2 linked regions of the Macaca mulatta genome follow. The protein of the gene in region 2 interacts with the protein of the main gene of each other region in a biochemical or structural test. Links are inferred from orthologs where the notes say so. Each region holds a gene or a part of one and is shown on either strand. Other genes may lie near its edges.

What was found. The genes of interacting proteins can lie anywhere in the genome.
Region 1: the proteins of IPO13 (region 2) and MAGOH form a complex in vitro, tested with the Homo sapiens proteins (2 studies listed by BioGRID and IntAct). The link is inferred for Macaca mulatta from reciprocal best matches to the Homo sapiens genes IPO13 and MAGOH.

The regions. Positions count from the first base shown.
Region 1 is NC_133406.1:187,368,534-187,373,654, reverse strand, and holds the start of MAGOH (protein mago nashi homolog), read right to left. Parts: upstream 3,316-5,121; 5' UTR 3,243-3,315; coding exon 3,155-3,242; intron 131-3,154; coding exon 72-130; intron 1-71. UniProt on the Homo sapiens protein: Required for pre-mRNA splicing as component of the spliceosome. Plays a redundant role with MAGOHB as core component of the exon junction complex (EJC) and in the nonsense-mediated decay (NMD) pathway.
Region 2 is NC_133406.1:196,691,154-196,695,514, forward strand, and holds part of IPO13 (importin-13), read right to left. Parts: intron 4,322-4,361; exon of another isoform or gene 4,018-4,321; coding exon 3,937-4,017; exon of another isoform or gene 3,396-3,936; coding exon 3,258-3,395; coding exon of another isoform or gene 3,221-3,257; exon of another isoform or gene 3,134-3,220; coding exon of another isoform or gene 3,106-3,133; coding exon 3,009-3,105; exon of another isoform or gene 2,880-3,008; intron 2,586-2,879; exon of another isoform or gene 2,083-2,585; intron 1,927-2,082; exon of another isoform or gene 1,825-1,926; intron 1-1,824. UniProt on the Homo sapiens protein: Functions in nuclear protein import as nuclear transport receptor. Serves as receptor for nuclear localization signals (NLS) in cargo substrates.

The DNA of each region.
Region 1 (5,121 bases), about 9.3 Mb from region 2:
CTAGATACAACAAAAACAATGCAAGACAAAAAGCTGAAATGTAGAAAATGAAGGCCTCTCAGAAGGCATACCTCTTTTCTGATCATGACATCATTCTTGTAATTGCTGTTGTTGGCATATCTTAACTTCCCTGTGGGGACAAAAGCCAAATTCAACATATAATAAAAACATGAATAAAGCATCAATACCATACCAAGACTATCGGCAGTTGCCTAAAATGTATCCAACTTGCTCAAAGTGTCTAAGACATTTATTATTTACTCTTAAGGTAGTTCAACAATACTAGTCTTTCAGTTCTTCACTTCAGGCTTAAACAGCCAAATATACAGCTGACACTCAACTACTGCAAAAAGCAGCTCAGGTGAGGTAAAAACACAGGCAGGCTCTTTTCTGACTTTGTCGAATCACATTTTTGCAGGTGAATGTCCTGAAAACAGGCAGAGTAAATGATAACTTACCAGCACATAGGACCTCCTGAGGCTCAAATGAGTTGTGAAAACATTTTGAAAACTGTAGGATGCTGTTTACATATATTATCATGTGACTGTGCCACACTCTATTTCTGTGATGGAAAAGTTGTTGCTTTTATCACTGAGCACATTTGGTACACAAGACCCTTTGTCCATGTGTGCGTCTAACAGGTTAATGTGAATACATGGTGGGGATGAGGAGAAGATAGAAGGAAACAGAAGACATGTAGACTAGAAGACATACATGTGAGATGAGCCCAGTGAATTTATTCCAACGGTCTCTGTGCTGTCTCTCTGCCTCAAGTTTCTTCACATTCAGTTCACTGTCCATATAGTGGACAAGGTGATGTGGTAACAGATCTATCAGATTAGGTTACTCTAATACTTTGATAAAGTCAATGGCTTTCCGCTGCCTTCCTGGTTAAAATCCGGCCGGGCGCGGTGGCTCACGCCTGTAATCCCAGCACTTTGGGAGGCCGAGGCGGGCAGATCACGAGGTCAGGAGATCGAGACCATCCTGGCTAACACGGTGAAACCCCGTCTCTACTAAAAATGTAAAAAATTAGCCAGGCGTGGTGGCGGGCGCCTGTAGTCCCAGCTACCTAGGAGGCTGAGGCAGGAGAATAGCGTGAACCCGGGAGGCGGAGCTTGTAGTGAACCCAGATCGTGCCACTGCACTCCAGCCTGGGCAACTGAGCAAGACTCCATCTCAAAAAAAAAAAAAAAAAAAAAATCCAAACTCCTCAACATGGCATACGGCTAAGCAAAGCCCCTGCCTGCTTTTCCAGCCTCACTCCTGCAATATTCTTCTCTCACACAGCTGGAGTCGAACAACTTGGTTTCTGCCTGAAACATCCCAAGCACTTTTTGGTTTTCAGCCTCTTTGCATGCTGTCTAAAATGCCTTCTTGACTCTTCTTGGTCTCCTAACCAATACCTCACATCCCCTCCTCCCATCATTTTATGTAGGAAGCCTCCTCTGACCCTCAGGCTTGGCTAGGTGCCCCTTCTCTGCTGCAAGTCTCCTCTGTTTCTTTTTACCACAACACCTAATACGCTGTTTGGTCCCTGCTTACAAATCCATCTCCCTCACAGTCGGGGCCTGTCAGATACATCTTTGTGGCCCGCTTAATGGATGTTTTCTGTCATCTTTGATTCCTCTTTCCTTCACCACAGTGCCTCCGCCAAAAAAATCCTATCAACGATCAAAGTCCAGTTGATTCTGCCTCCAACAGTTTCCTAAATCTTTCTCTCCATTTCTACTATCTCTGTAGTCCCAACCGACATCTTTTTTTTTTTTTTTTTTTTGTGACACAGTCTCGCTCTGTCACCCAGACTGGAGTACACTGGCACTATCTCAGCTCACTGCAACCTCCGCCCCAGGTTCAAGCGATTATCCTGTCTCAGCCTCCCGAACAGCTGGGATTACAGGCATCTGCCACCACGTCCGGCTAATTTTTGTATTTTTAGTAGAGGCGGGGTTTCACCATGTTGGCCAGGCTGGTCTCGAACTCCTAACCTCAAGTTATCCGCACACCTCAGCCTCCCAAAGTCCTGGGATTACAGGCGTGAGCCACTGCGACTGGCCCCCAACATCTTTCTTGTCTTGACAACAGTCTCCTAATCAATAGCCCTGTTTTCACTGTTGCCCATTCCGCACCCAATAACCAGAATGCTTTTTCAAGAACAGATCACATTTCTTCTCTGCTTAAAACCTTCCAAGCCCGGCCAGGCGCGGTGGCTCACGCCTGTAATCGCAGCACTTTGGGACACCGAGGCCGGCGGATCGCCCGAGGTCAGAAGTTCGAGACCAGCCTGGCCAACCTGGTGAAACCCTGTCTCTACTAAAAATACAAAATTAGCCGGGCGTGGTGGTGGGTGTCTGTAATACCAGCTACTCGGGAGGCTGAGGCAGGAGAATCGCTTTAACTCGGGAGGCGGAGGTTGCAATGATCCGAAATCGCGCCATAGCATTACAGCCTGGGCAAAAAGAGCGAAACCCGTCTCAAAAAAAAAAATAAATAAAATAAAAAAAGCCTTCCAAGTCCAAACTCTTTACCATGGTCTATAAAGATCTACAAGGTGCGGCTCCTACTACCTATCCGACATCATCTCCTGCCATCTCCCAGCTCACCACTCTTCAATCACACTGACCACCTGAGACATGCCTAAGCTCATTCCCGCCCTGCAGCCTTGACTTCTGGTATTCCCTTTGGGTAGAATGGTCTTCCTTGTGAGCTTCACAAGGCTGGGTCCTTCTTGCTAATTAGGGCTCAGCTGCAATATACCATTAGAGCTCTCTAATGGCCAACCTATCTAAAAGCAGCCCATCCAGCGATTCTACCATATTTTCTGACCACTCACTGCTATCCGGAATCATCTTTTTATGATCTCTCTCCCAGCAGTAAAACACAAGTTCCACGAGAGAGGAAGTTTGTCTATCTTCGCTGTCGTATCCCCAAAGAGTGGAACAGAGCCTGGCACACAGTGGGCGTTCAGCCAACGTTTGTTGTATGGATAAAACGACGCCGTGGAGCAGACACAGTGGCGCTCCTTTCAGATCCGCACTGCACAGGTCTCAGCCCCTTCCTCCTCTAGTTCCCCACAGATTTCCGACCCTCGGCCTCCCCACTCGCCCGCCCCAAGGCCTGGTCCCGCTCCCGGCGGGCGGCAGGCTGCTTTTACCATCCGGTCGGAACTCAAACTCCAGGAACTCGTGGCCGAATTTGCCCTTGTGCCCCACGTAGTAACGCAGATAAAAGTCACTCTCCATGGCTCCCAAAAGACAACCGAGCCTGAACTTCCAACAGCAAGCCGCACTGCTGCGGTCTGCGCCCGACACTGACGTTTGCGGCGGCGCGCGGAAGTGACGTCAGATTACGCCGTCGCGTAATGGAGGGGTTCCTTCTAGCTAACCTATTCGCCCGGAAGTGACAACAAGACTGCCACACCCTCTCACGCCTAGGAGGTAACGAACTTTGTTTAACCCGGAGGCGGGGCCAACCAGCTCCGCTTCTCCACCTGGACGCGGGAGCGAGGTTGAGGTTGGTACCCGCTGGGTTCTCTCCCGGCCTGAGGCCGAGAGCCAGCCGCCTGCCTACCTCTGGGCTTTGAACGCGGGGTCTGGTGACTTCGCTTAAAGATCTCGGACCGAACACCCCGAGCCTTGCCCCCGCCAGGCTCAACCTCAGTTCACAGGACCCCCGACTTGTGTGAGTCGTACACCGCTCTTTACCGTCTCTGGACCTAGGTCATCTCGGCAGTAAAATGGGGTGAAATGACCCGACCTTCCCGGAGGATGCCGCGCACGATGTGTGTGCCTCAAGATGGCTTCCATTGACCTGAACTGTTAAGAAAGCCCTCAGTGACGCCTTCCCTGAATCCACAGTGGAGATTGCCGTTTCCCTGGAACTAGTTCACCCACACTTACCCATTTCGTCCTTTTCCACCTTTTATTTCTATCTTTCTGCCCCACTGATCTCTAGAATAGGTGCTGTGAGAAGTTAGAGTATTTGATCTCCCACTCCCCAGTCATCCCACTTACCGAGCAGTGATTCTCAGCCTGGCTGCACATTGGAATTACCTGGGGAGCCTCTAAAAATACTGATGCCAGGGCTCTACCCCAAGCCAATTAAAATCTCCAGCGCTGGAACTGGGCATTGGTACTCTTTGTAAAGCTCTCAGTTGAGGACCACTGACCAAAGAGACTCTTTTCAGAGCAAAGTTGTCCTCTGTGAAGCCATTCTGGCTCTGGAAAAAATTTACAGTTGAGTAGGGCCAGAGCAATCAAGATCATAATTATTTAATAGGAGCCTGCTCTCACTCGTCTAAGTTCCACACTTAGAGAGAATGAATGGTTCTAGAGACAGTGCTGAGATGACATCATTCTTGGGGCCTGGCAACTAGAACAGTATAAGATTCTGTAAGTCGGGACAGCAGTCTCTGATTCCTACCCCCAGTCTTTTTTTTTTTTTTTTTTTTTGAGACAGAGTTTTGCTCTTGTTGCCCAGGCTAGAGTGCAACGGCTGGTTCTCAGTTCACCGCAACCTCCACCTCCTGGGTTCAAGTGATTCTCCTGCCTTAGCCTCCCAAGTAGCTGAGATTACAGGCACGTGCCACCACATCCAGCTAATTTTTGTATTTTTAGTAGAGACAGGGTTTCACCATGTTGGCCAGGCTGGTCTCAAACTCCCGACCTCAGGCGATCCATCCGCCTCAGCCTTCCAAAGTGCTGGGATTACAGGCATGAGCCACCGTGCATGGCCCCCAGTCTTAACAATGAGTCCTTTTCTCCCTGAAAAAGCATTAGCAGCAGAGTGTAGAGTAGGTGTGGTGGGGGAAAAAAACCATTGGACACTGGTTAAAATCTTTTGTTTTAACAATGACTCATTGTAACCAAAGGTGAACTGACTCAACTTTTTAGACTTCAGAGTTTCCTTCTCTTTAAAATGAGCATAAAAACGTACACCTAGCAGAACTGTTATAAGAAACAATGTCTCGGAAACTGTAAATTGCTATAAAACCATGACATTTTTATTACAAAACACCGCATATTGGTAGTAACAAGGGAACTGTATAAAAGAGAAGGGGGCTAGACACAGTGGCTCACACTTGTAATCCCAGCAGTTTGGGAGGCTGAGGCAGAAGGATCA
Region 2 (4,361 bases):
AAAATATAATAAAGATGGAACTTAAGAAAAAATTATACAAACAGCAACTCAACCTCATATAGTTATGTGGGACTGAGAGCCTGCAGGGAGACAGCGTGGGGGCACATGAGCAGCAGGAAGCAAGATAAAGAAACAAAACATACAAAAACCATGAACTGGGAGAAGCCCAACAGAAAGAGACGGCAAAGTGAAGGACGGGCCTGCCCCAGCTCCCTCCAAGGGGCCTTCCGCCTACTCCCCACTCCTCCTCGGGCCATCCCCTCGTGTTCCCTTGGTACTTGAGCAATTCTGGACTCCACATAGCTGAAGAAATGGCCACCACACTTACTGTGGCCTCTGGCAGGTTGGGGTAGCCCTACACCGCTCCTAGCACATACCTCCCAGCAGCCAGTTATTGAAGAGGAGAGCCGGGATGGCAGGTGGGGGTGGGGGGGGTCAGTCCTTGGTATCTCTTTTTTGTGGTTTATCTGAGGGCCCTAGAAAGGCCAGGGCATCAGAGCCTGAGTAAGTGCCACCTCACTTCAATGGCCTTAGGGCTCTTGATCTGGCAAAGGAAAATAATCTATTTGGTCCACTTAAACCAGAGGACTCTTGCTTAGGTATGGCAGTGCCCAGCATGCTCTGGAGATGGCCTGGCAAGTCACTGGCAGGGAACCAGAGGAGGAAACAGCATCATAAGGCCGAAAACAAGAGCCCCACCCCAGCAAAGCTCCTCCACATGGACACAGACTCAGCAGAGAGCCAAGCTCAGGGCTGAGGACTAGTTCCCATCATCTGGACATGCCAAGAAATAGGGAAAGCAGTCAACGTGTCATCCCATGGTCCAGTGGGAAGGCAGAGCCCGAGGAAGGAATGGCTAAGATTGGGATGGCGTAACAGGTATGGGAGCCATCCTGTCCAGTGAGACAACCAACAAGCCCAACAAATATGATGTTGGACACTTCTGCCTCCAGTTCTGATGATTCCTGAGGCAAGAATATGGCATGCACCTGGAGCTCCTACCCAGGCTTCTCCACTCTGAGGAGGATGTGGTGCAAAACCATCTGCCTAAGACACCACTAAGTAGCTGTGTGATCTTGCGCAAGCCACAAATGCTCAGTTTCCCCATCTGTAAAGCAGATAATCTCTGCCCTGCTTCCTTCTCTAGGCTATGAAGAGTCACCAGTAAATAAAGCCTGTTCCTTTGGTATCTGAACTCTGAGTTATTTAAGTCCTAGAAAGTGAGGCCCAATGTGCACCCTGCAGGTTTGATATTCAGCAGCCACCCTGTTAGAGGTGGGCCAGACAGTGAGAAGGTTCCAAGGGCAGGGAGCCTTCCCTCTCCTTTACTTAACAGCGTCTGTGGCCTGCTGTATTCTGGCCTCATTCTGGGCACTGGGGATGCAGAGAGAAGAAACTCAACCCTACCCTTGAGGGGCTTAGTCTAGTAAGAGAGATAGACATGAAAGCTGATTATTGTGTGTGATCGGTGCTGTTTCAGCAGTGTGTACGGGATGCAGTTTCAGTACAGTTAGAAGCACCCAATTCTGCCTCAGAAAAATTACTTTGAGAAGTGATGCAGTCCTCCTCTTTTGTAAGGCATGAAGGAGTGAGAGTTCACCCAGTAAAGGGCATAGGACATTCCAGTCAGAGGAGCAAGGCACAGGGATCAAATGGGACACAGTAAGGAAGAGGCAGTGTGGCTGGAATGTTGGAGTCATGAGGACATCAGCAGGAGAGGACAGGAGAGGCATGACAGAGCCTTGTCACGTGGGTGGGAATGGAACAATAAGCTGAGGGCAATGGGAACAATGAAAGGGTTTTAAGCCTGGGAAGACAAATGCTCAGATTTGTGTTTTCATGAAGATTATAGCTGCAGTGTGCAGAACAGATTGGAGAGAAGGGGAGATGTCAAGAAAACCCACTAGAAGGTTGCTGATAATCCAGGTGAGACCCTAAACTGAGGCAGTGGCCACAGAGGTGGGTAGAAGTGGACCGACCGAGAGAGAATCAGGAGCCAGGATCAATGGGGCTTGTCCCAGATTGGGTACAGGGAGTGGGAGAGGTGGAGTTGAGGATGACCACACCAGGTTTCTGGTTCAGTTTTCTCCCCAGTTTGGACCTACTCCATGGCCCACAGAAACAGAGGCCAGGATCATGAGACCAAGCACTGAGGATATGAGCTGCAAGTACTCTGGGCGCCAACCGAGACCCCTGGGGAGCCTCAAACCCGTGACCACGAATCCAGGCAAGGCTCATGAGGCTAGCTGAGCAGTGTTGTTTTTTTTTGTTTGTTTTTGTTTCTCCAAATTGGAAGCCTGGATTAGACAACACGAGAAGCCTGAATGAAGCCCCTGCTCCCAACTCTCTCAGGCAAAGGGCCACAGTGAATGGAGGGCTAGGACCACAGCCAAAGGTACTCGACTTCAGGCCTAGAAAGGACTAAGCCTTGATGCGGGGAAAGGAACAAGCGGTCTCTGAGTACTTCACTGTGCAAAAGCCCCCGAGCCAGGGGCCCAGAAGATGTGACTTTAACACCTGTAAACACTCATTTCAAGTATATGGTATCTCCGTTTCACAGATATGGAAATGAAGGCCCAGCAAAGGTAAGTGACTTGCCCAAGGACACACAACTAGTTGGTGGTGATGAACTTAGAATCTAGGTCTAGTTGACTTCAAAAGCCCGTGCTCTTTCCACTTTTCGTTATATCCCAAAGTAAAGGAGCCAGCCCAGTGCCCCAAGTCCCTCAGAGCCTCTGCCCACCTCCCACCCCCACCTCCTTCTTCCATATCCAGACTGGCCCTGAGCCCAGCAGGCCAGCAGAAGACATCATTCACCCTCTTATCCACTTCAACCTAAGGTTTCAACTATTTGTAAGGTGCTGTGCTTGATCTCACAGGTTTCCCATCAAGTCCCACGTGTGACTCAGGGGACAGAGAAGAACAGAGTGGGCAGCTTTGGCTCCCCATTTGGGGAAGCAGAGGCAGTGGCAGTGGCAGCAGCAGCAGAGACCCTGGTCAGGACCTACCTTGCTGGAAGAGAGTGAGTGTGACGGAGGTGACGAGCAGGAAGAGGGCCTCAATTGGGGGAAAGTGGGCAGGCTCATGAGCAAAGATGTGGACCAGCTACAAGAAAGCAGGGAATGCTGGTCAGCTGAGACCCAGTCTCACCAGGATAGAGCAATATCCCTGGAATGCAAGTGGGGACCCCAGCCACAGCAGCCATCTGACCCACCCCCACCCAGGGTCAGGAGCTCTGCCCCAACCAGAAGGCCCACCTGTCGAGTGAGGTCAAGAGCAGAGGCCTGGGGGATGGTGCTGTACATCCGACCCAGCATCTCACACAGCTGTGGCACCATGGGGGCAAAGTCATCCAGCAGCGTCTTAACAGACTTCTCAAAGATAGCGCACACCGCCTTGGGAAGAAAACAAAGGGGCCCTGGTCAGCAGGTCATGACTGGCTGGAACAGCGCTGAAGCCCTGCACAGAGGGGGCCTAAAATCGGGCCCTTACCTATAAGCCTTGCCTGGCCCTGCAAACAAAAGAACGTAAGCAAGTCTGACCCTTACCCTGAAAGGCAGGGGCAAAGGCCCTTCACTGAGGGGCAAAGGATGTAACTGTAGAACTTAACTCCTGCTACTTACATCTCTACCATTTCCTCTCAGGGAGCAGCAACAGCAACAAAAACCTGAATTGAAAAGGGACCAAAGGCAGGTCTCTGGTGCTAAAACAGATGCCTGAGTGTCACTCGACCCTAATATTACAGTTCTTGCGTTAAGCACTTCTCATATTGGGGAGTTCTAAATGTCTTCCCAAAAGATTCCTTATCTCTATGGGGCAGGATTCACCTCCCTTGTTTCTCCAAACCATTGTAAGCTGACGTGTGGCAGTAACATCTTACCCTGCTACACCTCTGAGCAGTCACTGTGGGAGCAGAGGACAAGGGTCAGGGCTCACCTCCACAACCTGGGCATCATTCAACCATTTGCTCAGCACCTTCTGGATAAGCTGGAAGACCTGCTGCAGCACCACCACCACCTGAAGACACAGGAAGAAGTGAAGTGCTTCTGCTATTGATCACTGTGACCCACTTGAGAAGGACTTGGTAGCAGGGAGGAGGGGAGCAGTTCAAACCTATTACCCCAGAATGCACACTGAAGACCCAGTGCATGGGTCACCTAGGGGAAGAAGTGGTTTGCTGAACTCTCTCATGAATGAAAAAGGAGGATATCCTGAATTCTAGGGATCATCTCAAAGGAAGCCTCAAACTGCAAAGCAGAGATATCACAAGTGCTTCATAAGGTTACAAAAACTTTGTAGACTTAAAAAAAAAAATCACCCCCTATCACTGCTCTGTAAAACCAAGGCTATGGACTAGCCTC